Linked DNA regions of Macaca mulatta. The protein of the gene in region 1 interacts with the protein of each later gene in a biochemical or structural test. Links are inferred from orthologs where the notes say so. Each region holds a gene or a part of one and is shown in the gene's direction. Other genes may lie near its edges. The genes, in order: UBE2I, TOP2A, SLX4, TRIM28, CFTR, FOS and HNRNPM.

Region 1 (4,300 bases):
GAGATGAGTGCGGTGGAGTTGTGAGAGGTGAGTGCTTTGCTCACCCTCAGCCAGGAAGTTGCTCGGAAGTCGGTGCTGTCAACCAGCAGAGCAAGGTGGTGATCCGAGAAGCTAAAGCTCAGCCGGTCGCGGGTGCCCAGCAGGACAGAAGGCAGACCTTCAGGCCACTCCTGGAGTGCTTGGCCCTGTCCTGGTTGCTGCAGTGTCTGGGCCTTGCTTGGCTCTGATAGATGAGGGTTGTTTTTGTCTTTGCCTCATATAAGTTCCCTGCTCTGAAGGGTCTAGTAACTGCTAGCCATTCACTTAGTGCTTATCTGTTAATTTGGAAGGGCAAATTCGATTTTCAGCGGGATTTTGAATGCTTCGTCTGTGTTGTGATTACATTGTAACACATTGGCCACTTTCTCCAGGAGGCCAGTAGGAGGGGGAGCAGGGGGAGGGGCCTGGCTTCTGCCTAGGACAGGGTGGGTGTGCACCTGTGGCTCCTTGCCCTGTGGTGCAGTTTCCTGTGAGACCACCCTGTGGTGCTGAGTGCTTTGGGGCAGGGGATACAGCAGCATCAGCCAGACCTTGGCGGGAGGTCTCACAGGAGCACCCTCACGACTTCTCACATCTGAGACAGCAATAGCTAGGTGCTGGGACGGGGGCCTCTAGGTGGCTCTGTCCGGTCTTCAGTAGGAGGGCTACCTGTGGCAGGGTTCCAGGCCTGGCTGGCCTCTCTGGGGCTGGCCTCTCTGGGGCCTGGCCTTGCCTGGCTGTGAGGATCGTGTTGGCCTTGGTCCTTCAGTGTCTGGAGCACTGGCCTGGGGCTTCAGAGACCTGCTTGATTCCTGGCCCCGCTCAGACCCCGGGCACCTGGGAGGTCGTGGCTCCTCAAAACGGCCGTTCACCAGGCTGCTTTGCACCGCACCAGGCACAGGCTGTGGCTACTCATGAAGCCCACCCTGGGGCTGGGGAAGCGAGAGCTGTGAGTCCTCAAGCCACAACTGAGCTGCTCCATGTGGAAGTGGAGGGTGGAGACACGTGCAGAGAGAGCCTTGAAACCGTGGTTGGCGGGAGCTCCACTCCACTCTGGGCTCGAACCCTGCCTGCCCACAGCTGAGCCCAGCTGTGTCCCCCACTTTCTCCCTTTCTGGCCCCTGGCTTCCCCCCACCCCCACTTAGAGAAGGGCATGGGGATGGGCAAGTGGTCCAGAGGGCAGGCGGCCTGCGGGCTCCTCCGCATCCCTGTGAGGAGGGCATGGGGAGGGACATCCCGGTGGGGCCCAGTCTGGGGCTACCTGTCTTGGACTTAATCGTGTAGCTGGAGGCCAGTGCCCGGATGGCCCCTGTCACCCTCTCGCTGTGATGCCAGCACCTACTGACTGGAGGACCCGGGTTCCTTTGCCTGATTTTTCTCAGGCTGCCCTGAGGATCCGTGTTTGGTTAAAAAGGAGCCAAATCCACCTGCAGGGCAGGCGGCTCTAGCAGCCCCGCCTGGCTTCCAGCACCCTGGTTCCCTGGCGACACTGGACCCGCCTGGGCTTCCTTGATCCCAGCCCCACCCCTGATTTCTGCTTTGCTGCCTCGGGAAGCCATCGTGCCGCCCAAAACCCGAATGTGGGCCTCTCGGAGCTCCTTCCTCAATGAGTCTGCTGGGGACTGGGCCTTGCCTCCCTAACAAGTGCCAGGTGAGGCTGCGGCGGCTCTGGCCCAGGTGGAGCTGCTGACCTGGCCCCTTCCTGCAGCTGTGAGGTGTGTGAGGTTCGTGGGCCTGCACAGGTGCGGGCGCCATCCAGGTCACCAGGGCCCTTGTAGGGACGGCCCCCCACGGTTTGGAAGGCCTGGCGCAACCCCCAGCTTTGTCGAGGTGGCCCTTGCTTGGCGCTGAGATGCCAGACTTGGAGGCAGCTTCAGTGTTCCCGTGGACTTTGAAAACCAGCACACACTTGGGCTTGAATTCTCTGGCAGGTTTTGTGCCCTGAGTGCTGTTTTTCATGGTAAAGGTGACCACCAGTAGGGTGACAGGTGAGGCTGGTGTCGAGGCTGCTGGCCCTGTTTGCCTGGTGTCCCCGGGGACAGTGCGGGCCGACAGGCTCCCGCTGGGAACCAGAAGGCAAAGGTGCCAAGCCCCTGAGGTCCCGTGGAGAAGTGTGGAGCTGGAATCTGGCGTGTGTGCCGCTGCCTCTGACCAGGGACCTGGTCCCGTACCCCATGCTCCTGCCCTGCCCCACAGGACCCGTCTGTCCCCTGAAGCCACAGGGACATGCTAGCGGCTGCAGGGTCCGGGAACGGTGGCCCTGTGGGGGGCTCCTCTTTCAGCGAGGCTGAGCCTCTGCCCTGTGGTACTTGTTCCACTCTGTCTTCAACACGGTGAAACCCCATCTCTATTAAAAATACAAAAATTAGCCGGGCATGGTGGCGGGGGCCTGTAGTCCCAGCTACCCGGGAGGCTGAGGCAGGAGAATTGCTTGAACTCAAGAAACGGAGGTTGCAATGAGCCGAGATAGTGCCACTGCACTCCAGCCTGAGGGACAGAGTGAGACTCCATCTCAAAAAAAAAAAAAAAAACAATATTAGGTGTCCCCCTGGCCCGGCTTGAGTCTCAGTTCTGAGCGCCTGATAGTAAGGCGGGGACCCAGATAGTAAGGCTGGGACCCAGCCCTGCCTAGTCCCCACCTGACGGTTCAGTGAGGACCCTGCCACGCCAGCCACCACAGGGTGGCAGCTACCGCCCAGCCACAGCAGCCCAGCCTCTGAACATCCGTCTCCACCGTGGAGCAGAGGCCGCGGCACGTGTCGCAGACCAGGGCTCGGGGGGCCCATGGGGAAGGGGTCCTACCTGTCCCCCCACCCCCGGTGATCTGGGATCCACTCATGAGGCCTCCCCTGGTAGACCCCGGGGTCGGACGACGGCTTCCAGGAGGAGAGTCTCTGCTGGGCTGGGCTGGCGCCTGTTAGGAGCAAGACTGCCCACTGCGGGCCGTGTGCACGTGGCGGGGCCGCAGGAGCCCGCTAGCCTGTCCTGACCCCGTGCTCTGCCTCCTGTGTTCCAGGGACTCTGAACATGTCGGGGATCGCCCTCAGCAGACTCGCCCAGGAGAGGAAAGCATGGAGGAAAGACCACCCGTTTGTAAGGAGGGCTTCGTTTCCGTGTGCAGTGCCGCGGACGGCCCCCCTGGGCTGAAACCGTGCCCCCCACCACTGGGAGGGAGCTGGCCGCGTGCCTGGGTCGCGCTGGTGGGGCTCGCGGGCCGGTTCTCGGTGGTTTTGGTCAAACGAGATGCCACCGCACTGATGTGCTTTTGTGGTTGTTTTCTCTCAGGGTTTCGTGGCTGTCCCAACAAAAAATCCCGATGGCACGATGAACCTCATGAACTGGGAGTGCGCCATTCCAGGAAAGAAAGGGGTAAGAGGCGCGCGCTGCTAGCCTCCTGCCTGTCGGGGCTCAACAGATGCGTGTGGCAACGCCACGGGGAAACTGCTCAGCCCCTGCCGTCTGTGACGGCCGCCCTTGTCACGGGCTGCGGACAACAGGTCAGATCCCCAGCTGTGGCCTGGCCCCCGCCCCGTGCGGACTTGAGCTCAGAAGGTGGTGCTGGCAAGGTTGGGGTGACAGCTGTGTCCCCACCGAGGGCATTTCTGGTTGAGAAGGAAGCAGGCTGGGCACAGGGCTGAGCTGTGGCAGAGGGGAGGGGCTCTGGTGTGTGTTGGGAGCAGGCCTGAGGGCGGGCAGCCTTTGCAGGCTGGAACCCGGGATTCTGCTGTGTCCTTCCAGGTGTGGCTCAGGTCACGGTAGCTGGGTTTGCTGGAGAGCCACCCTGGCGTAAAGCCGCCTCCTGGAGAACCTCCTGGGGCACAGGGACTGGCGACAGCAGCCTAGGATGCCTGCTTGGGGCCCCCTGTGTGTCTGTGGGGAGCAGGGCGGCCTGTGTGCCTGTCGTCTTTGCCCGGCTCCCGTGAAGCACTTGGCCGGGGACTCCAGGCTGGTGTGCACATAAGGTTCATGCTGGTGAACCCTGAAGGAAGGAGAGAGCCCTGAGGTGCTGGTCCTGCCCGAGGCCTTGTTCCCTCCGGCCCATGCCACCCTCTGGGTTTCACTCTGAAACTCAAAGCAGCTTCGGTCCCCCTGAGCTGAGCAGTCCCAGCAGGTCTCAGCTTTGCCTGAGACATGGTGTCACTTGGGTTTGTCGCTTGTCTGAGGCTCTGCTGAGAACGTCCCTTGCTCTTCACGTCACGGCGACGCAGGTGTGCGGCCCCGAGGAAGACGGGAGTGGTGTCGGATTGTGGGGTGGCAAAGGCGCCTCATCCAGGCAGGATC
Region 2 (3,500 bases), on another chromosome or scaffold:
CAGGGACCATATCTGTTTCTTTTCACGATTGTATTCTCAGAACTATCACAGCGGTTAATAAATTTGAAGCATAGATGGATGATAGATGGAGAAAAGTGAGTCTCAGAATATATAAAGGTGGTTGATTTCTATCTCTCCTCTAGGTACAAAGACAAAGAAACAAACTACATTGCCATTTAAGCCAATCAAAAAAGGAAAGAAGAGAAATCCCTGGTCTGATTCAGAATCAGATAGGAGCAGTGACGAAAGTAATTTTGATGTCCCTCCACGAGAAACAGAGCCACGAAGAGCAGCAAGTAAGGAAAACTAAAGAACATTATAGATAAGCTGTAAGAGTGGAATGGCCAATATACTTCAGGGTACTTTGCCCCAGAAATTACTGTGTCTTAATAGAGCAGTAAATTAAAGTAAGTTAAAGCTTTGAAACACTGAAGCATCTTTCAGGAGATTAAAAACTAAAATATTCATGAAATGTTATATCAACCTATGAATTAAGTGTTTCTCCTACTACCCTCTGATTTTTTGTATATGTTTTTTTACTAGCAAAAACCAAATTCACAGTGGATTTGGATTCAGATGAAGATTTCTCAGATTTTGATGAAAAAACTGATGATGAAGATTTTGTCCCATCAGATGCTAGTCCACCTAAGACCAAAACTTCCCCAAAGTAAGTATCTTTTCTAATATGGGTTTTTGTCATGATTGTTTCTAATATATTGTTTTTTGCTTAACACCTTTAGAATTGGTTGTCAGGATTTTTTTTTTTTTAATTCTAGACTTACTAACAGAGATCTGAAACCACAGAAAAGGGCTATGTCAGGTATGTATCTAAGTAAAAGCAGTGAGACATCTGCCTTACTGGGACACTCAGATCCAACTGGGTTCTAATCCTGGCTACATTATCCAAGTACTTCCTTTGGAAATAAATTTGAGTTCTTAATAACATTATGTTGACACTGTTCGTTGGGTTTAGTTTCACATGTAAATAGGTACTGCATTCAGTATACTAAAAGTAATCATAGTGCTTGCCAGGTACTTTGCTAGGTGCTAGAGATACAAAAAATAAAAACTGTTCTTGCTGATAAAAAATTCAGAAATTAGAACAAAGTTTTAAGAGTATGTTTTAGGCTGGGCATGGTGGCTCACACCTGTAATCCCAGCACTTTGGGAGGCCGAGGTGGGTGGATCACCTGAGGTCAGGAGTTCGTGACAAGCCTGGCTAACACAGTGAAACCCCGCCTCTACTAAAAATACAAAAAATTAGCCAGGCGTGGTGGCGGGCACCTGTAGTCCCAGCTACTTGGGAGGCTGAGGCAGGAGAATGGTGTGAACCCGGGAGGCGGAGCTTGCAGTGAGCCGAGATCAAGCCACTGCACTCCAGCCTGGGCAACAGAGCAAGACTCCATCTCAAAAAATAAAAAAAAAAGTATGTTTTAAATATTCCAGAAAAGTCACATATTTGGTGTTTAAATAGGAATTCATACCAAGCACAAAGCAGAAAATGGATTTTCATGTGTTGGCTTAAATGTACTATTTTCCTTTCCATTTGAAATGATAGACCTTGAAGCTGATGATGCTAAGGACAGTGTACCACTGTCTTCAAGCCCTCCTGCTACACATTTCCCAAATGAAACTGAAATTACAAACACAGTTCCTAAAAAGAATGTGACAGTGAAGAAGACAGCAGCAAAAAGTAAGCCTAAATCTTTGAGATGGGTTAATGTTGCAATTAACTAACTGGTTTTCACGTGGCAATTTCAATTTTTTATTGCCAAAACTTACTGTTGATATTACAAATTAAACCTTTTCCAAATGGAAGCAATTTCTTTTAGATCTTTATAATCAAAATTAGTAGTCAAGGCTGGTCCTGATTGTTCATTCAGTTACAGATCAAACTCCTTGTTCTACTCTTTTCCCTCCTTCTCACTACTGCACTTGACTAGTCAAAACACAAAACAAAACAAAAGCCAGGCAGAGTGGCTCATACCTGTAATCCCAGCGCTTTGGGAGGCTAAAGCAAGAGGATCGCTTGAGGCCAGGAGTTCAAGGCTGCAGTGAGCTATGATCAAGCCACTGCACTCCAGCCTGAGTGAGAGAGTGAGACCCTGTCTCCAAAAATAAGGTAGTCCAAATGTTTAAAATCAGCGTGTTTCTCTCAGTACCAGGCTTCATCTAGTTCATTTCTATGACAAGGATAGGATTTATAAGCAATTGCAAATGTTTAATGTAAAACATATTCTTAAAATTGAATGTTTAAGGCTGGATGCAGTGGTTCATGCCTGTAATCCCAGCACTTTGGGAGGCCTAGGTGGGTGGATCACCTGAGGTCAGGATTTCGAGACTAGCCTGGCCAATATAGTGAAACCTCGTCTCTACTAAGAATACAAAATTAGCCAGGTGTGGTGGCACATGCCTGTAGTCAGCTACTCGGGAGGCTGAAACGGGAGAATCGCTTGAACCCAGGAGGCAGAGGCTACAGTGAGCTGAGATCGTGCCACTGCATTCCAACCTGGGCGAGATAGAGCAAGACGCTATCTCAAAAAAAAAAAAAATAGAATGTTTAAGAATACTTTGATTCTCTATTTTCACCTCTCTTAGATTGTCTTTTCCTATGTTAAATATACACAGTCATCACATTGCTGAAGAAAGTTCACAATGAGAACAATTCATCTAAGAGTGGCTATGACTAGGTCGGGCGCAGTGGCTCATGCCTGTAATCCCAGCACTTTGGGAGCCCAAGGCAAGTGGATCACCTGAGGTCAGGAGTTTGAGACCAGCTTGACCAACATGGTAGAACACCATCTCTACTAAAAATACAAAAAATTAGCCAGGTGTGGTGGCACGTGCCTGTAATCCCAGCTACTCAGGAGGCTGAGGCAGGAGAATCGCTTGAACCCAGGAGGCAGAGGTTGCAGTGAGCCAAGATAATGCCATTGCACTCCAGCCTGGGCGATAGAGTGAGACCCCATCTCAAAAAAAGAGCGGCTGTAACAAATGCCTGTATTGAATTGCAGGTCAGTCTTCCACCTCCACTACCGGTGCCAAAAAAAGGGCTGCCCCTAAAGGAACTAAAAAGGAACCAGCTTTGAATTCTGGTATCTCTCAAAAGCCTGATCCTGCCAAAACCAAGATTCGCCGCAAAAGGAAGCCATCCACTTCTGATGATTCTGACTCTAATTTTGAGAAAATTGTTTCAAAAGCAGTCACAAGCAAGGTGAGTGTTGATTCTAGTCAGTCCTTTTGCTGTAGGTGTTCTGAAACACGTAACTAAGCCATTGCTCTTAATAATTTGGCATGTCGCCGGGCGCGGTGGCTCAAGCCTGTAATCCCAGCACTTTGGGAGGCCGAGACGGGCGGATCACAAGGTCAGGAGATCGAGACCATCCTGGCTAACACGGTGAAACCCCGTCTCTACTAAAAAATACAAAAAACTAGCCGGGCGAGGTGGCGGGCGCCTGTGGTCCCAGCTACTCCGGAGGCTGAGGCAGGAGAATGGCGTA
Region 3 (3,500 bases), about 2.3 Mb from region 1:
AGGTCAGGAGTTCGAGACCAGCCTGTCCAACATGGTAAAATCCTGTCTCTACTAAAAATACAAAAATTAGCTGGGCGTGGTGGCGCATGCCTGTAATCCCAGCTACTTGGGAGGCTGAGGCAGGAGACTTACTTGAACCCAGAAGGTAGAGGTTGCAGTGAGCCAAGATCACACCACTGCACTTCAGCCTGGACAAGAGTGAGACTCCGTCTACAAAAAAAAGAAGCTTTTTATGGTGGAGGAAAAAAGAGCCCTCTTTCATTCTGGAAATGAAACACTTAGGGTGGAAATCAGGCACAGTCTAGAAGGGAGTGAGGAGGGGACAGAGTCTGCATTCTGGAAGGCTCTGGACCTGCCCCTTTATGTGGGTGCAGAAACGATCATCGCACTATTTTCCTCAAGGTCCTTCCTGAGTTTCCAATCCCATGATCCCGCAGTCGGTACCCTCTAGTGCAGGGGTCCCCAACCCCCTGGCCTCAGACCAGTACCGATCTGTGGCCTGTTAGGAACCTGGCCACACAGCAAGAGGTGAACAGCGGGCAGGCAAGTTTTACCGCCTGAGCTTCGCCTCCCGTCAGATCAGTGCTGGCGTTAGACTTGTAGGAACACAAACCCTATTGTGAGCCGCGCATGCATGGAATCTTGGTTGAGCTCTCCTTATGAGACTCTAAAGCCTGATGATCTGAGGTGAAACACTTTGATGCTGAAACCATTTCCCCGATTCGTGTCCCATGGAAAAACTGTCTTCCATGAAACCAGTTCCTGGTACCAGAAAGGTTGGGGACTGCTGCTCTACCACATCTAAGAATTTGGTAGTCACTTTACTCCATCCATTTCATTGCTGTATGGCATGGTTTCCACCTCAGCGCAGTCCAGTGTTCACACTGTTAACATAAGATTATTCAGCACAGTTCAAAGAGTTGGTGATTGGCCAGGCACGGTAGCTTACACCTGTAATCTGAATACTTTGGAGGCCAGGGCAGAAGGATCACTTGAGCCCAGGAGTTCAAGACCAGCCTGGGCAACATAGCAAGACCCATCACTACAAAAAATTAAAAAATTAGCTGGCTGGTGCTGCACACCTGTAGTCCCAGCTACTTGGGAGGCTGAGGCGGAAGGATCGCTTGAGTCTGGGAGGTCAAGGTTGCAATGAGCTGTGATTGCACCACTGCACTCCAGCCTGGGCGACAGGGCAAGAACCTGTCTTCGTAAAACAAAAACAACAACAAAGTTGGTGAAACAGAAGATTTTTAGAGGCCCTGCTCACAGCCAGGACACAAGTCCTCAGCATGCAAACCACAGCCACACAAGTGCCAGAGGGCTGGCCCTGCTCTACCCTGTCCTGCTGCTGAGGACGCTAGAGCTGACACCAGGTTCATAGTGAACAAAGGCAGCTTGGACCTTTGACTCCTCCATCTTTGAGACCGCTGTCAAGAGCAAAGGGAACGCCAAAGGCGATGACTCTGTCCCGCCCACTGCTTTGCACACAGGTCATGGGCAGCCGAGCTGAGTTGGGGGTGAGATGGCAGAGGGCAGAAGGGATTCTCTTGGCGGGGGAGCCCATCTGTATTTAGCACCTCCACACCAGCATGGTAGGGGTGCAAGCCTTGAGGCCTTAGAATAGAGGTCTTCTTTCTTGTCAGGACCACACCAAAAGCACCTGCTCAGATAAAGTATGTCTGCTTTTTAGAATATTTCAAAGTACTGAAACTAGATGTATGTGGATCCATTTAGAAGGTTGTTAGAGTAGAAAACTACAGGAGCTGGATGCCCTTATGGGGTCTTTGAACCCCTCCCTCCCCCAAGGCCAAGCCTGTGGTCCTCAGAACGCATGCCACGGCCAGAGTACCTCATACTCTTTCCCCACAGTCCAAACCTGGCCTGCTGGGGAGTGAGGAGGGGACAGAGTCTGCATTCCCCTCACAGAGGCAGGGTCCTGGGCTGCCCAGGCGGCTCCTTTCCCACTGGGAGGCTGTGATTATCCAGGTTCCTAGGAAGGTGAATTTGAGCCATCCCTGGCCCCGTGGAGAGCACGGGCTTTTGCAAAAGCCAGAGGCATGACTGCAGTGCAGGGAAGGTGGGCCCGGTTTGTGCTAAGTTCCTTTGTCGCCTCTGCCCTCCTCCTGCCCAGCTTGTTGGGAGTCACCCAGGCAGCCTAGGTTCTCTCCAGCTGAAAACTCCTGTTCATTTCCTCCCAGCCAAATGCGCTGCTGCCCACTGAAAGTGCAGAGTCCCGTGGCGGCTGGTGTCATGTCGACCATTGGCAGCCTAAGCTGGGAAGCCCTTCCTTCTGGCCATGGGCAGAGGCACTGCCCTGAAGCCCCTGCAGGAGGGAAGGGATCCTTTTCTGCCGGTGTGGCCAGGACCATGTAAGGAGCATCGGAAGTATTGATGGGTGAAGGTGGTGGGAGTCCAGGGAGCCTGCTTAGAGCCGTCGACTGTTGACTCCATTGGACGGGCTTGGCCACATGAGGATGTGCAGGTACCACAGATGGCTCTGGACATCTGCCATGAGCCTGCTGGACAGCAGCACGTGAAGGAACCCAGACCCTCCCATGCCTGGGCCATGTTGAACTTTTGGCCTGTGATTGAATGAGTTCACACAAGGCAATAGAAGTGGGGGATGCGTCTGCCTGGCAGGTCCACATCCGTCACTTTTCTCTCAGGCCCAGCCCTCTCCAGGCCAGTGTGACCAACCTGAGAAGCGTGCACTCCTCTAGCCCCAGTAACTTTTCTTTTTGGCTGTCTTCTCGCTTCAGTGATCACGGTGGAGGTCTGAAACGGAGAGGACCCGCCAGCAAGAAGGAGCCACGGAAGAGGCGGAAGGTGGACGAGGCACCGTCCGAGGACCTGCTGGTGGCCATGGCTCTGTCCCGGTCGGAGATGGAGCCGTGTGCGGCTGTGCCAGCGCTCAGGCTGGAAAGTGCCTTTTCTGAGAGGATAAAACCAGAAGCAGGTTTGTGTGGCCAGAACAGTGGCCCTGGGAGAGACCACCGGCGGGTCGCGGGGGAGTGGGCTGACTCCACCGTTGATGGTGTCGCTTTTGTTTCTCTCTAGAGAAGAAAAGTCGCAAGAAGAAACCCCCAGTGTCTCCCCCATTGTTGTTAGTCCAGGACTCTGAAACCACAGGCCGACAGATAGAGGACCGTGTGGCCCTGCTCCTGTCTGAGGAAGTGGAATTGTCTAGCACGCCACCACTTCCTGCCAGCAGGATTTTAAAGGAAGGGTGGGAAAGAGCGGGCCAGTGTCCTCCTCCACCTGAATGCAAGCAGAGCTTTCTGTGGGAGGGCAGTGCCCTGACTGGGGCCTGGGCCACGGAGGCCTTCTACACGGCCAGGCTGGTCCCTCCCCTCGTGCCCCAGCGGCCTGCCCAGGTGAGTCCCTCCCCTCAGGCACATGGGATAGGCTTTTGCGGGAGGCCGGCGGTCCCAGAACTGCAACACTGGGTATCCACAGCCAGGTGATGGAAAGTCCAGGAAGAAAAGGCAGAGGCGGGAGGA
Region 4 (4,214 bases), on another chromosome or scaffold:
ATTTCATAGACTCATTGCTCTGTAGCCTCTTGTGATTTATAGTTTGTGTGTGTGTTTTTGCGGGGGGCGGTAGGGGGGCCGGCGTGGTGGCTTACACCTGTAATTCCAGCTCTTTGGGAGGTCGAGGCGGGTTGATCACCTGAGGTGGGGAGTTGGAGACCAGCCTGGCCAAAGTGGTGAAAGTCAGTCTCTACTAAAAATACAAAAAATAGTCGGGCGTGTGGAGGCGGATGTCTGTAATCCCAGCTACTCAGGAGGCTGAGGCAGGATAATTGCTTGAACCCGGGAGGCAGAGGTTGCAGTGAGCCGAGATCGCGCCACTGCACTCCAGCCTGGGCAACAGAGCAAAACTCCGTCTCAAAACAAACACAAAAAGATTTCTTCTTTTGAGATGGAGTTTCGCTCTTTTCTCCCAGGCTGTAGTGCAATGGCATGATCTCGGCTCACTACAACCTTCGCCTTCCGGGTTCAAGCGATTCTCCTGCCTCAGCCTCCCGAGTAGCTGGGAGTACAGGCGCCCGCCACCACGCCCGGCTAATTTTTGTATTTTTAGTAGAGACGGGGTTTCACCACGTTGCCCAGGCTGGTCTCGAACTCCCGACCTCAGGTGATCGACCCGCCTCGACCTCCCAAAGTGCTGGGATTAAAGGCGTGAGCCGCCGCGCCCGGCCACATTTTTTTCGATCTGTTGTCTAGGCTGGCGTGCAGTGGCACAATCCCGGCTCACTGCTGCCCCGGCCTCCTGGGCTAAACGGAGCCTCCCGATTCGCCTAAGAAAATGGTGGGATTACAGGTATGAGCCACGGCGCCCGTCTGTGATCTACATTTGATTTAGGCAACTTTCTGTGTTTCTCAAGTTTAACTATAACGTGGTTAAAATTCAAAAGTCAGCCCCTGCTCTCACACAGGCGCTTCCTCCCTCCTGGGATGGAGCCTGTCCTCCCCTCTCCCGGGGCACAGCCCTTTACTCCGTCTTGGCCCCGCCTACTTCTCCATTGGCCCTGCCCCCTATCCCGAACGCTTAGTGACGCAAAGGCTGGAGACGACTCTACGCGAGCGAAAAGACGCGGGTTGAGGAAGAGTTACGGACTGCCCATGCGCTTGGGCGCACAGCGGCCCGCTTCGGTGTGGTCTGGAGGTGGAGCTGAGAGGGGAATCACACTCTATAAAGGTGCGCACACCCCACTGGCGGATTAAATTGCGGCAGTGACGTCACAGAGGGACCGCCCCGCCCCCACAAGACCCCACCGACGTGGGGTTGGCCGTGGTGGAAGGACCCGGAGTGGGCGCGTGCGTACTGGCAGCCTCTCCCGCCCCGACCGGCCTGGGCCCCGCCCCCGGGCGTGCGGCGCCCAATGCGCGTGCGCGGCGGCGTCGGCGCCAGTTATTTCTGTCCCGCCCCCCGGCCTCGGCTCTTTCTGCGAGCGGGCGCGCGGGCGAGCGGTTGTGCTTGTGCTTGTGGCGCGTGGTGAGGGTTTCGGCGGCGGCTGAGGAAGAAGCGCGGGCGGCGCCTTCGGGAGGCGAGCAGGCAGCAGTTGGCGGTGCCGCAGCAGCGTCCCGCGCGCGGCGGGCAGCGGCCCAGGAGGCGCGTGGCGGTGCTCGGCCTCGCGGCGGCGGCGGCGGCGGCCCAGCAGTTGGCGGCGAGCGCGTCTGCGCCTGCGCGGCGGGCCCCGCGCCCCTCCTCCCCCCTGGGCGCCCCCGGCGGCGTGTGAATGGCGGCCTCGGCGGCGGCAGCCTCGGCAGCAGCGGCCTCGGCCGCCTCTGGCAGCCCGGGCCCGGGCGAGAGCTCCGCTGGCGGCGAAAAGCGCTCCACCGCTTCTTCGACCGCGGCCTCGGCCTCGGCCTCGGCCTCGGTGTCGTCGCCCGCGGGGGGCGGCGCCGAGGCGCTGGAGCTGCTGGAGCACTGCGGCGTGTGCAGAGAGCGCCTGCGACCCGAGAGGGAGCCCCGCCTGCTGCCCTGTTTGCACTCGGCCTGTAGTGCCTGCCTAGGGCCCGCGGCGCCCGCCGCCGCCAACAGCTCCGGGGACGGCGGGGCTGCGGGCGACGGCGCCGGTAAGTACGAAGTGATCGGGGCCACCCCTCCCCCTACTCTCTGCCTTTGATTCCCACTGGGTGCAGAGATGAGGATGCCACCTGGGCAAGAGGATGGGGGCCCGGACAGTGCACGGGGAGTACTTTCTGGGTCCTGCATAGGAACGTGGGTTTGAGCTGGCCGCTGAGATGAGACATCTGACTAAAGTTGGAGAAAGGGCTCAGGGAGGGGAGGGGAGGGGCTGCCTCGCTGCGGGGTAATGGTCGGGGGCCCACCCAGCACGGGGATGCGGGGGGCCATAACTTGGGTGGGAACTTGTAACAGTCTCCCACATCCCTGCCTCTTGAAGTGGTGGACTGTCCCGTGTGCAAGCAACAGTGCTTCTCCAAAGACATCGTGGAGAATTATTTCATGCGTGATAGTGGCAGCAAGGCTGCCACCGACGCCCAGGATGCTAACCAGGTGCGTCCAACCGCAGCAACCACAGGGAGGTTTCTGGGGAGGGGGCATCTGCCCAGGAGGAGCTTGACACCAGCTCCCAGGCTGTTACTCGACTTTCCCAAGGCTCTGGGTGGGCTGTCTAGGCTGGGTCAAGGGACCAATCTTAATCTTGGGTTGTATTTTCTGAGGTGTAGATGTGGATCTAGCAAGTTGTCTTGCTTTCTCTGACCCTGCCTTTGTCTGGCAGTGCTGCACTAGCTGTGAGGATAATGCCCCAGCTACCAGCTACTGTGTGGAGTGCTCGGAGCCTCTGTGTGAGACCTGTGTAGAGGCGCACCAGCGGGTGAAGTACACCAAGGATCACACTGTGCGCTCTACTGGTACGTGAGGCTGAGGGGGCTGTTGCTTTCCCGTGTGTGCCCTCAGTTGCTTTTATAATGTTGGTTGCATTTGGTGGATGGGTCCTAGAGTTGTCCAGGGGGTGCCGCCCGAAGGGCTGGAGAGCAGAACTCCAAAAGCAGGAAAATTGTGGTTGTGGTGTGTAGTCTCTAGGGCTTAGGTGGGAGGGGGTGGGAAGGGGAGACGTGGAGACCTTAATGTGCTGCAGGGAGGTACAGAGGGTTTGAGGAAGCTTATCAGGGAGTTCTCAGTCCTGGTGTTGAAGGGCTCAGAATATGCAAACAGGGAAAGGCATGGTGTGAAGGGCTTACTGGGTTTGTGGTTCCCTGGCACACATCTGGTATAAGATGCTGTTAGGGAAAATGAGACTTTGTGGGTCCATGGGTTATAAGTGATGGTGATTTCTGGAAACGTTTTAGCTTTTGAGTTGGCAGAGACTTACCCGGAGTTTGGTTTGGCATTTCCAGCTTTTCGCAGACACTCGCTAGCTTTGATTTGGAAAGGAGCTTGAGAGTCTTTTGAGTGTAGCCCAGTTTTTGGGCCAAAATCCTCCCATGAGTGGCCTTTTGGTAGCCATACCGTGATTCTTCCCATCCCAGAGGCCAGCATTGGTGGAAGATAGTGGGAAAGTGGCGGCTGTGGGGCCTGAGGAGCCAGGAGGGATAGGCAGGGGCTGCAGGGTGTCCTACATTCCAGACGTCCCAAGCAAAGGTCAGGGTGCAGGAATGGTGGCACTGGGGAAGTCAGTTTCCCCAGTGAGCCCTGATGCTACGTATTTTGGATTTGGTTGGTATGTTGGACCACTATGCTTAATCGGTTTTCTAATGGGGAAGCAGGCTTTGAAGGTTATTAATGTGTTGGTCTTGGGGTGGAATTATGCTGAGCACCAAGCTCCTGGTCTAGAGGGGGTGTGACCACCATTCTGAGGGTCCTAGTTTGACATTTTATCTCTCCCAGTATGAGAACCTCTACAGGTTTTCTCTGGGCTCTTGGGTTGTAAGAGACCCTGGTGTTTTCTTGTCACGAAAGAGGGAGGAAGTTAACCATGAAAGGAGAAGAAAAGGAGTCCAGGGTGGTTTGTAGGCAGAATTCTGAATATGTCCACTTGGAGAATAAAGGGAACAGTGTGTGTGGGGGGGTAGTCCTCTTTTTCCGGAGGCTGTCCTTACCTTTACCTTTGTGTCACCTCTAGAAGCTAGAAGAAAGGGTTGTGTTTCTCAGCTATGTTGGGGCAGAGGTTTCTGGGAGCAAGGAATTGGGCTTGCAGGCCTGTGTTCTTCGCTGGCCACACCCTCTACATCTTCCCAATAAATGGCCCAGTGTCACAGAATGGGCAGGAAAT
Region 5 (2,929 bases), on another chromosome or scaffold:
TTCGAGTCTTCGGGGATACATCAGAGTAGCCCCCCTTGTCGAATAAATGTGCTTACATTTCCTACCATACCAGAAACTCTTCTCAAACTTTAATTAATTTCCACAAGGTGAGATTACTTTAATGAAAAACCAACCAAGGAAAGGAGTATCATGTGCAATATACTTTCAAATGTGTTTTGTTTGTTTCCTATCCAGCTTAAAAAAACAAGTCATTAGTCCTAACACAACTTTCATATTCTACCCCATATCAAAGAGGCTTAAAATCTCCTGGTAAGATGATGGACACACAGTTAATTTTTTATGAACAAACACAGTGTTTTGGACCATTTCTGATTTTAACTCTGAAATCAAAAGATTCTTTCTGAGGCCATTGTCTCATTCTCCATTACAGTCAGGTGGGAGCCCATCTTACCTCCTGATACTAAATTCTAGACTTCTCAAGGGCAGGAGACAATCATCTGTATATCTCTTTGGCCTTCATACACTCAGGAGTACTTGCCAAAAATAAACATTTAATGCACATTTATTCGAATAATCGATAAATCCAATACTTCAATAACTGTCATATTTTGATAGAATGGGTTTCTATATCTCATTTGCATTTTCAAACTTTACTTTTACTGTCTAGCTTAAAAAAAAGTCATTGACCCTAATACAGCCCTCATTTTCTCCCCCAATATCTAAGAGGCTTTATATGTCCTAGTGTTATGCCACTATTTTAATGCCAGTATTTTTTACTTCATATTTTTATCTATTTGTTACAGTTAGTTTTTATGATTTCAAAAGATGAATAGCAATCTTCCATATGTAATTTAAAAAACCCCACAGTTGATTATTTTATGCTATCTTTTGTCCTCAATCATGACAGAGTAGAAGATGGGACGTAGCACCAAGGATGATATCATACCTCCATCCTTTATGCTGCATTCTATCTTCTGTCTACATAGGATGTCATACTAGAGGGCATACCTGCGATGTATACATATTATCTTTTCCAGCATGCATTCAGTTGTGTTGGAATAATTTAGGTACACCTTTATAAACCCTGAGCCTCACAAGAACCATGTACCACGTATTGTTTCCTTACTACCTTTTGGGATACGTGGCACATAATAGGCACTCATTGAAAGTTTCCTAATGAATGAAGTACAAAGATAAAACAAGTTATAGACTGATTCTTTAGACTTGTCAAGGTAATAAATAGACTTTTGCTCAATCAAATTCAAATGGTGGCAGGTAGTGGGGCCAGAGGGATTGGTATGAAAAACATAAGCTTTCAGAACTCCCGTGTTTATTTTTAGAATGTCGACCGCTTGAGTGTTTTTAACTCTGTGGTATCTGAACTACCTTCTCTAACTGCAGGTTGGGCTCAGATCTGTGATAGAACAGTTTCCTGGGAAGCTTGACTTTGTCCTTGTGGATGGGGGCTGTGTCCTAAGCCATGGCCACAAGCAGTTGATGTGTTTGGCTAGATCTGTTCTCAGTAAGGCGAAGATCTTGCTGCTTGATGAACCCAGTGCTCATTTGGATCCAGTGTGAGTTTCAGAAGTTCTGTTACTTAATAGCACAATAGGAACATAATCATTATGCCTGCTTCATGGTAACACATATTTCTATTAGGCTATCATGTCTGTGAGTGGGGGCCTCCCCCAGGAAATGAAATAATTGCCCAGTGGAAATGAGCATAAATGCTCATTTCCTTATCTAAGAGTCTTGTGTTTTCTTCTGAAGATAGTTTTTAGTTTCATACAAAGTCTTCCCCCTTGTCAATACATGATGAAACTTTTAAATACATGGGCGTAATCTGATCCTTATGATTTGCCTTTGTATCCCATTTACACCATAAGCATGTTTATAGCCCCAAATAAAGAAGTACTGGTGAATCTACATAATGAAAAATACACTCATTTATAAAAGTTTCTTCGAAATATTTGTCCTGTTTATTTGTGGATACTTAGAATCTACCCCATGGTTGAAAAGCTGATTGTGGCTAACTCTATATCAACATTATGGGAAAAGAACTTAAAGAAAGAAGTAATTTAAAGAGATAAATTAATAGAACAATAGACATAATTACTATTAGTAATAGTAAATACAGATAATTACTGTTCTGTGATATTATGTATAGTATTTTCTTTCTTTTCTAGAACATACCAGATAATTAGAAGAACTCTAAAACAAGCATTTGCTGACTGCACAGTAATCCTCTGTGAACACAGGATAGAAGCAATGCTGGAATGCCAACAATTTTTGGTGAGTCTTTATAACTTTACTTAAGATCTTGTTTCCCTTGTAATGCTTGATAACAATCTCAGGTGTGATAGTTCCTGCAAACTGTAACAATGTACAAGTTCTTTTCAAAAATATGTGTCATACAGCCATCCAGCTTTACTCAAAATAGCCGCACAAGTTTTTCACTTTGATCTGAGCCATGTGGTGAGGTTGAAATACAGTAAATCTAAAATGGCAGCATATTACTAAGTTATATTTATAAATAGGATATATATAATTTTTGAGCCCTTTATTTGGGGACCAAGCCATACAAAATACTCCACTGTTTAAGATTTTTAAAAAGGTCCTTATGATTCTTTCAATAACTAAATCTCCCATGGATGTGGTCTGGGACAGGCCTAGTTGTCTTGCAGTCTAATTTATGGTATTAATGACAAAGTTGAGAGGCACATTTCATTTTTCTAGCCATGATTTGGGTTCAGGTAGTACCTTTCTCAACCACCTTCTCACTGTTCTTAAAAAACTGTCACAGGGCCAGGCACAGTGGCTTACGTCTGTAATCACAACACTTTGGGAGGCTGAGGTAGGAGGATTACTTGAGGCCAGGAATTCAAGATCAGTCCAGGCAACATAGTGAGGCCCCATCTGTCTTTATTAAAACAAAATAAAACTGTCACAGATTCTTTCAAGTGATGTT
Region 6 (4,254 bases), on another chromosome or scaffold:
AGGAGGCTGGGGGGCGTGGCACACTCTGGAGCACCTTGCCTCCCCAAAGCCCGGTGTTCCAGGACGTGGAGCCGCGCCTGGGGTCCCAGCGGTGGAGGTATTCCGCCTGGGCGCTGCTGGACACTGTCCTTCCAGCCCCTGTCCTCCCCTCTCCAAGTCCGCGCTGGAAAATCACCCGCTGCGGGCTCCCGTAAGCACAGCTTCCTGGCGGGACCGAACCAGCCCCCCAGTTCAGATTTTAGTTCCCCGCAGGAAGCACACCCCGCCTTGTCATCCCGAACTGACCACCCTGCCCACATAACCACACCCCGCACTCCCTACCCCCGGGGCCCAGCTCAGAACCGGGCAGACACCCCCTTCAAATGTCTTCGCACGTAGGTGTCGCACAGTGTTTATCTGCTGGTGTCTCAGGGATTTGACAGTTTCCTTAATATTCCCACACATGGCCGAGAAAAATAAATAAATAAATGCGCTGTCTTCCTTAAAGAAAAAATAAGTAAATAAATAAAGTACCCAGTATCGTAAAGTAGGTTATCGTATTCTGTTATTTTGGATCCACTTTCTGCTTCCAAACGCAGGAACAGTGCTAGCATTGCTCGAGCCCGGGAGGAGAGGGGTGAGGGTCTGCTTCCTCGTTTTGCACTGAATTAGGGCTAGAATTGGGGATGGGGGTAGGGACGCATTCCTTCGGGAGCCGAGGCTTAAGTCCTCGGGGCCGTGTACCCGAGGCCGTTTCTCCTATTCTTGAGCCTCAGAACTGTCTTCAGTTTCCGTACAAGGGTAAAGAGGCGCTCTCTGCCCCATCCCCCCCGACCTCGGGAACAAGGGTCCGCATTGAACCAGGTGCGAATGTTCTCTAGCATTCTGCGCCGTTCCCGCCTCCCCTCCCCCGGCCGCGGCCCCCGCCTCCCCCCGCGCTGCACCCTCGTTGTTGGCTGCAGCCCGCGAGCAGTTCCCGTCAATCCCTCCCCCTTACACAGGATGTCCATATTAGGACATCTGCGTCAGCAGGTTTCCACGGCCTTTCCCTGTAGCCCTGGGGGGAGCCATCCCCGAAGCCCCTCATCTTGAGGGTCCCACGAGACCCCTGAGACAGGAACTGCGAAATGCTCACGAGATTAGGACACGCGCCAAGGCACAGGCAGGGAGCTGCGAGCGCTGGGGAGGCAGCCACGCGGCGGCAGAGGCGCTCAGGCCCGCGCGCCACCCCTCTGGCGCCACCGTGGTTGAGCCCGTGACGTTTACACTCATTCATAAAACGCTTGTTATAAAAGCAGTGGCTGCGGCGCCTCGTACTCCAACCGCATCTGCAGCAAGCAGCCGAGAAGCCGAGACTGAGCCGGCGGCCGCGGCGCAGCGAACGAGCAGTGACCGCGCTCTTACCTAGCTCTGCTCCACAGCGCCCACCTGTCTCCGCCCCTCGGCCCCACGCCCGGCTTTGCCTAACAGCCACGATGATGTTCTCGGGCTTCAACGCAGACTACGAGGCGTCATCCTCGCGCTGCAGCAGCGCGTCCCCGGCCGGGGATAGCCTCTCCTACTACCACTCACCCGCCGATTCCTTCTCCAGCATGGGCTCGCCTGTCAACGCGCAGGTAAGGCTGGCTTCCCACCGCCGCGGGGCCGGGGGCTTGGGGTCGCTGAGGAGGAGACACCGGGCGGGACGCTCCAGGAGATGAGTAGGGGGCTCCCTTGTGCCTGGAGGGAGGCTGCAGTGGCCGGAGCGGTGCCGGCTCGGGGGCTCGGGACTTGGCTCTGAGCGCACGCAAGCTTGCCATAGTAAGAATTTGTTCCCCCTTCCGGAGGCAGGTTCGTTCTGAGCAACGTCTGGTTTGCATTCCAGGACGGATCTCTGACATTAGCTGGGGCAGACGTCTCCCAAGCACAGACCCGCTAACTAGAGCCTGGCTTCTCTGGGGAGGTGGCAGAAAGCGGCAATCCCCCCTCCCCCGGCAGCCTGGAGCAGGGAGGAGGGGTGAGGGAGGAGGGTGCAGCGGGCGGGTGTGTAAGGCAGTTTCATTGATAAAAAGCGAGTTCATTCTGGAGACTCCGGAGCGGCGCCTGCGTCAGCGCAGACGTCAGGGATATTTATAACAAACCCCCTTTCAAGCGAGTGATGCTGAAGGGATAACGGGAACGCAGCGGCAGGATGGAAGAGACAGACACTGCGCTGCGGAATGCCTGGGAGGAAAAGGGGGAGACCTTTCATCCAGGATGAGGGACATTTAAGATGAAACGTCCGTGGCAGGATCGTTTCTCTTCGCTACTGCATGCGGCACCGGCAACTCGCCCCACCTGTGTCCGGAATCTGCTCGCTCACGTCGGCTTTCCCCTTCTGTTTTGTTCTAGGACTTCTGCACGGACCTGGCCGTCTCCAGTGCCAACTTCATTCCCACGGTCACTGCCATCTCTACCAGTCCGGACCTGCAGTGGCTTGTGCAGCCGGCCCTCGTCTCCTCTGTGGCCCCATCGCAGACCAGAGCCCCTCACCCCTTCGGAGTCCCCACTCCCTCCGCTGGGGCTTACTCCAGGGCTGGCATTGTGAAGACCATGACAGGAAGCCGAGCGCAGAGCACTGGCAGGAGGGGTAAGGTGGAACAGGTGAGGAACTCTAGCCTACCCTTCCTGGGAAGGTGGGGGCTGGGTGGGAAGCGGCCCTGGAGGTGGAGGAGCACAGCAGAGAGGATTAAGCCCCTGACGGGGCTGGCTGCACATCCCTAACTGGGAACCCTGGCTCCAAGCCCATTCCATCCCAACTCAGACTCTGAGTCTCACCCTAAGAAGTACTCTCATAGTTTCTTCCCTAAGTTTCCTACCGCATGCTTTTAGACTGGGCTCTTCTTTGTTCTCTTGCTGAGGATCTTATTTTAAATGCAAGTCACACCTAGTCTGCAACTGCAGGTTAGAAATGGTTTCACAGTGGGATGCCAGGAAGTAGGGAAGCTGCAGGAGCCAGTTCTACTGGGGTGGGTGAATGGAGGTGATGGCAGACACTTTTACTGAATGTCGGTCTTTTTTTTTTTTGTGATTATCCTAGTTATCTCCAGAAGAAGAAGAGAAAAGGAGAATCCGAAGGGAAAGGAATAAGATGGCTGCAGCCAAATGCCGCAACCGGAGGAGGGAGCTGACTGATACACTCCAAGCGGTAGGTAGACTTTGCGGGTTGCTCCTTTTTAAAACTTAAGGGGAAAGTTGGAGATTGAGCATAAGGGCCCTTGAGTAAGACTGTTTCTTATGCTTTCCTTTCTCCCTCTGTATACAGGAGACAGACCAACTAGAAGATGAGAAGTCTGCTTTGCAGACCGAGATTGCCAACCTGCTGAAGGAGAAGGAAAAACTAGAATTCATCCTGGCAGCTCACCGACCTGCCTGCAAGATCCCTGATGACCTGGGCTTTCCAGAAGAGATGTCTGTGGCTTCCCTTGATCTGACTGGGGGCCTGCCAGAGGCTGCCACCCCAGAGTCTGAGGAGGCCTTCACCCTGCCTCTCCTCAATGACCCAGAGCCCAAGCCCTCAGTGGAGCCTGTCAAGAGCATCAGCAGCATGGAGCTGAAGGCTGAGCCCTTTGATGACTTCCTGTTCCCAGCATCATCCAGGCCCAGCGGCTCTGAGACAGCCCGCTCTGTACCAGACATGGACCTATCTGGGTCCTTCTATGCAGCAGACTGGGAGCCCCTGCACAGTGGCTCCCTGGGGATGGGGCCCATGGCCACAGAGCTGGAGCCCCTGTGCACTCCGGTGGTCACCTGTACTCCCAGCTGCACTGCTTACACGTCTTCCTTCGTCTTCACCTACCCCGAGGCTGACTCCTTCCCCAGCTGCGCAGCTGCCCACCGCAAGGGCAGCAGCAGCAATGAGCCCTCCTCTGACTCGCTCAGCTCACCCACGCTGCTGGCCCTGTGAGCGGGCAGGGAAGGGAGGCAGCCGGCACCCACAAGTGCCACTGCCCGAGCTGGTGCATTACAGAGAGGAGAAACACGTCTTCCCTAGAGGGTTCCTGTAGACCTAGGGAGGACCTTATCTGTGCGTGAAACACACCAGGCTGTGGGCCTCAAGGACTTGAAAGCATCCATGTGTGGACTCAAGTCCTTACCTCTTCCGGAGATGTAGCAAAACGCATGGAGTGTGTATTGTTCCCAGTGACACTTCAGAGAGCTGGTAGTTAGTAGCATGTTGAGCCAGGCCTGGGTCTGTGTCTCTTTTCTCTTTCTCCTTAGTCTTCTCATAGCATTAACTAATCTATTGGGTTCATT
Region 7 (3,500 bases), on another chromosome or scaffold:
AATCATGTTTCCTTCCCTACCCTGCTTTTCTTTTTTACTTAGTTCAGTTGAGAGCTATGTTTTTAGTGCTATATTTCATGCCTTTTCTTCCTTTCCTGTTCCTTTAGCTGGACTCTTCTAAGCTGGTAGTTGAGTTCATTTGACTTTCTTGTTAATAGATTTGAGAGATGCTTTCCAAACAACCTTTCAGTTTCTAAGTCTTGAGAATATCATTTACTGTGCAAGCATGGTTTGCGTTGTCACTGGGTCAAACGTAACACCATTTGTGCTTGTTTTAGGATCCTGATGGTGAACATGCCAGGAGAGCAATGCAAAAGGTGATGGCTACGACTGGTGGGATGGGTATGGGACCAGGTGGCCCAGGAATGATTACTATCCCACCCAGTATCCTAAATAATCCCAACATCCCAAATGAGATTATCCATGCATTACAGGCTGGAAGACTTGGAAGCACAGTATTTGTAGCAAATGTAAGTAAACAGAACCATCATCTAAAGTAGAAAATAACTTTATGAAATGACCTTGTCAGTATGTTATAAAAGTAATTCTGACATTTGAGAAGAAAAATATAAAGAAGGGTTGTGTTCTTGATTTCTTTAAAAATCAGCCGTATAGGTAGACTTTGTCTGCATTCCTAAGTCACAAGCTTGACCATGGTCTCATTGGGGCTGTGATTCCTGAGTTTTGCAGGTGTTTCCACAAGCAGTAACCGAGTCTGCATTCTCCGTTGGTTTATTTGTGCAGTTTTGGTGCAGAGTAAGAGTGTACGAGCAGAAGTGCACTGACACCTTCCTCTTATTGTGTCTGGGGTGAATGATACCTCCACCATTGCAAGGGGAGATATTTTTAGCAGAAAGTAGCTTGGGTGGGGTGGGGTATGGTAAAGCTTATCAGGGAAACAATTTTTTAAAAATGTTCAGAAAATGAGTATTAATTTGAAGTATGAGGTGACTTAAGTTTCTGAGAAAAGAAACCATATATTTAAGTACAGTTTATTTACAGTGAAGGCCAGGCTTTATAATCCTATTTTAAAATTTCCATTGCAGTTGATTAGTTTTTGTGACATTATTTCCTAATACTTTTTCCAACCAAAGCATGTCTCATTCACATAGTAAAAATGTGTTTCTTAAGACGTTTACATTGAGGTTTTTACCCCGTTCTTTCTCGATTAGCTGGATTATAAAGTTGGCTGGAAGAAACTGAAGGAAGTATTTAGTATGGCTGGTGTGGTGGTCCGAGCAGACATTCTTGAAGATAAAGATGGAAAAAGTCGTGGAATAGGCACTGTAACTTTTGAACAGTCCATTGAAGCTGTGCAAGCTATATGTATCCTTCTGCAGGAATTCAACTTGTGAACAATTTGACCTAAATTGCTGTGTTAGTAATGTAGGTTTGTGTGAGGAAGAGGTGACTGTGTATTAATGTTTTTTATGTGACTAGGGAGAATGCATTACTGTGGAATTAAAAGGTTCTCTGGGCCGGACCGGGCATGGTGGCTCAAACCTGTAATCCCAGCACTTTGGGAGACCGAGGCGGGCAGATCACTTGAGGTCAGGAGTTCGAGACCAGCCTGGCCAACATGGTGAAACCCTACCTCTACTAAAAATACAAAAATTAGCTGGGTGCAGTGGTGGATGCCTGTAATCCCAGCTACTCAGGAGGCTGAGGCACAAGAATCGCTTGAACCCGGGAGGTGGAGGTTGCAGTGAGCCAAGATCGGGCCACTGCACACCACCAGCCTGGGTGATAGAGTGAGACTCAGTCTCAAAAAAAAAAAAAAAAAAAAAAAAGGTTCTTTGGGGGTGGAGTTGATTCAATACAGTGTGGATAGAGGGGATGGTTAGAACATGGGCGTATGCCCATGAGTGGTCTTTCTACTGTTTTCAGAAGAGTCTAGGTTTGAAGGAGGAAGCCCAAAGAATGCACCACTAGAGAGAAACTGGGTTGTTATTTCATGTGTAATACATCCCTATAGGATTACTCACTCTCTCCAGTGAGTAGACATCATTTTGGAAGAGGACACTTCTCCTTGACCCTAGGCTTAGCCTAGAGTTTTAATCCCATGGAGAGTACCCCACAGGAGCACATTCATGCAACTCAGACGAGACCGTCTTGGCATGTCTTACCCAGAAAGCATGGTCCTTCAGTTTAGATAGTGGTAGATGCCTGGCCCATTGGCCACATTCAGAGAACCTTGATGCCACTGCTTAAGAGGATGGTTTGGTGAAATTATAAGGTTACAAATGAAGCTTCACACCTGAGGAATAAGCAGAAGTTGTCTTGTCCTCCCGCCGTCTTTATTTATTGTTCCTTTTATGTTTATTGTTGAAAGTATAATGAAGAATTGAAATTGCTCATAAATTCATCACTTAGAGGAACTGGTAGCAGTTGGAGTATTTTTCTTTCTTTCTCTCTCTCTTTTTTTTTTTTTTGTATTTCTCTTGTGCACATTTTTAGAATTGCAAGAAATAGCCTTAATTGTAATACCAGCTATGTTCAATGGCCAACTGCTATTTGATAGACCAATGCACGTCAAGATGGTAAGTCAGTAGGATCTTTCTGTGTGATATACTCAAGGCTAGCAAAAACATGGAATTAATAAGAATGTACACATATCCACTATAAAATATTTATGGATTAGTCTAAGTTAAATAAGGTGCAGTATGTTGAGTGAATTTGTGAGAGAAATAACATTTTGCTGGTCGGGCATGGTGGTTCATGCCTGTAATCCCAGCACTTTGGGAGGCTGAGGCGGGCGGATCATGAGGTCAGGAGTTTGAGACCAGCCTGACTAACATGGTGGAACTCCGTCTCTACTGAAAATACAAAAATTAGCTGGGCGTGGTGGCACGCACCTGTAGTCCCAGCTACTTGGGAGGCTGAGGCAGGAGAATCAACTTGAATCTGGGAGGAGGAGGTTGCAGTGAGCCAAGATCGTGCCACTGCACTCCAGCCTGGGCAACAGAGTGAGATTCAGTCTCAAAAAAAAAAAAAACAAAACATTTTGCTCATGGCAACTCTTGACTGCATTAGATATTTTTCCTTTTGCACAGTTGACTGTTCATGGCACATACAGGTAGTCACCTGGGTATCCTGGTTGAGCAAGTGATCTGTTTCAAAGAATAGTTACATATGTGGGGTTCCAGTTTTTCAGAGTATTACAGTATAATGTTTGGTTAGCATCAAATCTTTTGTGAACATAATTAAGTCATTGATTCAGACAGCTCTTAAAGGTCTGTTGGAGCATTTCAGTCTTAATAAACATTTGCTCTGCCGTGGCTGTGCCAAAGATAATAATTACTACAGGCATGACTGGAACATGCTGGGGGCAATCTAGTCGGGGCTCAAATTCAGGAAAAAGATAAAAGAAACTATAAAGCAATTTTTTCATTACTGTAAATAGAATAGTTAAGTTTTTTGAATAGATGATAGATTCATATGACTCAAAAGTCAAAAAATATGAAAAGATAGCGTGAAGATAGTGTGAGTCCTACTTGGAC

The links.
Region 2: the proteins of UBE2I (region 1) and TOP2A form a complex in vitro, tested with the Homo sapiens proteins (2 studies listed by BioGRID, with this or other methods). The link is inferred for Macaca mulatta from reciprocal best matches to the Homo sapiens genes UBE2I and TOP2A.
Region 3: the proteins of UBE2I (region 1) and SLX4 form a complex in vitro, tested with the Homo sapiens proteins (2 studies listed by BioGRID). The link is inferred for Macaca mulatta from reciprocal best matches to the Homo sapiens genes UBE2I and SLX4.
Region 4: the proteins of UBE2I (region 1) and TRIM28 form a complex in vitro, tested with the Homo sapiens proteins (6 studies listed by BioGRID, with this or other methods). The link is inferred for Macaca mulatta from reciprocal best matches to the Homo sapiens genes UBE2I and TRIM28.
Region 5: of the proteins of UBE2I (region 1) and CFTR, one has a biochemical effect on the other in vitro, tested with the Homo sapiens proteins (2 studies listed by BioGRID). The link is inferred for Macaca mulatta from reciprocal best matches to the Homo sapiens genes UBE2I and CFTR.
Region 6: of the proteins of UBE2I (region 1) and FOS, one has a biochemical effect on the other in vitro, tested with the Homo sapiens proteins (3 studies listed by BioGRID). The link is inferred for Macaca mulatta from reciprocal best matches to the Homo sapiens genes UBE2I and FOS.
Region 7: of the proteins of UBE2I (region 1) and HNRNPM, one has a biochemical effect on the other in vitro, tested with the Homo sapiens proteins (2 studies listed by BioGRID). The link is inferred for Macaca mulatta from reciprocal best matches to the Homo sapiens genes UBE2I and HNRNPM.

What each region holds. Positions count from the first base shown.
Region 1 is NC_133425.1:2,512,388-2,516,687, forward strand, and holds the start of UBE2I (SUMO-conjugating enzyme UBC9), read left to right. Parts: upstream 1-1,500; 5' UTR 1,501-1,670; intron 1,671-3,035; 5' UTR 3,036-3,046; coding exon 3,047-3,112; intron 3,113-3,304; coding exon 3,305-3,388; intron 3,389-4,300. UniProt on the Homo sapiens protein: Accepts the ubiquitin-like proteins SUMO1, SUMO2, SUMO3, SUMO4 and SUMO1P1/SUMO5 from the UBLE1A-UBLE1B E1 complex and catalyzes their covalent attachment to other proteins with the help of an E3 ligase such as RANBP2, CBX4 and ZNF451.
Region 2 is NC_133421.1:64,770,273-64,773,772, reverse strand, and holds part of TOP2A (DNA topoisomerase 2-alpha), read left to right. Parts: intron 1-143; coding exon 144-296; intron 297-543; coding exon 544-667; intron 668-776; coding exon 777-820; intron 821-1,558; coding exon 1,559-1,693; intron 1,694-3,014; coding exon 3,015-3,214; intron 3,215-3,500. UniProt on the Homo sapiens protein: Key decatenating enzyme that alters DNA topology by binding to two double-stranded DNA molecules, generating a double-stranded break in one of the strands, passing the intact strand through the broken strand, and religating the broken strand.
Region 3 is NC_133425.1:4,820,416-4,823,915, reverse strand, and holds part of SLX4 (structure-specific endonuclease subunit SLX4), read left to right. Parts: intron 1-2,759; coding exon 2,760-2,956; intron 2,957-3,057; coding exon 3,058-3,374; intron 3,375-3,500. UniProt on the Homo sapiens protein: Regulatory subunit that interacts with and increases the activity of different structure-specific endonucleases.
Region 4 is NC_133424.1:70,681,956-70,686,169, forward strand, and holds the start of TRIM28 (transcription intermediary factor 1-beta), read left to right. Parts: upstream 1-1,414; 5' UTR 1,415-1,712; coding exon 1,713-2,052; intron 2,053-2,381; coding exon 2,382-2,494; intron 2,495-2,720; coding exon 2,721-2,853; intron 2,854-4,214. UniProt on the Homo sapiens protein: Nuclear corepressor for KRAB domain-containing zinc finger proteins (KRAB-ZFPs).
Region 5 is NC_133408.1:157,202,157-157,205,085, forward strand, and holds part of CFTR (cystic fibrosis transmembrane conductance regulator), read left to right. Parts: intron 1-1,362; coding exon 1,363-1,535; intron 1,536-2,147; coding exon 2,148-2,253; intron 2,254-2,929. UniProt on the Homo sapiens protein: Epithelial ion channel that plays an important role in the regulation of epithelial ion and water transport and fluid homeostasis. Mediates the transport of chloride ions across the cell membrane.
Region 6 is NC_133412.1:148,475,682-148,479,935, forward strand, and holds FOS (protein c-Fos), read left to right. Parts: upstream 1-1,454; coding exon 1,455-1,595; intron 1,596-2,349; coding exon 2,350-2,601; intron 2,602-3,037; coding exon 3,038-3,145; intron 3,146-3,262; coding exon 3,263-3,904; downstream 3,905-4,254. UniProt on the Homo sapiens protein: Nuclear phosphoprotein which forms a tight but non-covalently linked complex with the JUN/AP-1 transcription factor. In the heterodimer, FOS and JUN/AP-1 basic regions each seems to interact with symmetrical DNA half sites.
Region 7 is NC_133424.1:9,317,659-9,321,158, forward strand, and holds part of HNRNPM (heterogeneous nuclear ribonucleoprotein M), read left to right. Parts: intron 1-278; coding exon 279-470; intron 471-1,172; coding exon 1,173-1,326; intron 1,327-2,490; coding exon 2,491-2,540; intron 2,541-3,500. UniProt on the Homo sapiens protein: Pre-mRNA binding protein in vivo, binds avidly to poly(G) and poly(U) RNA homopolymers in vitro. Involved in splicing.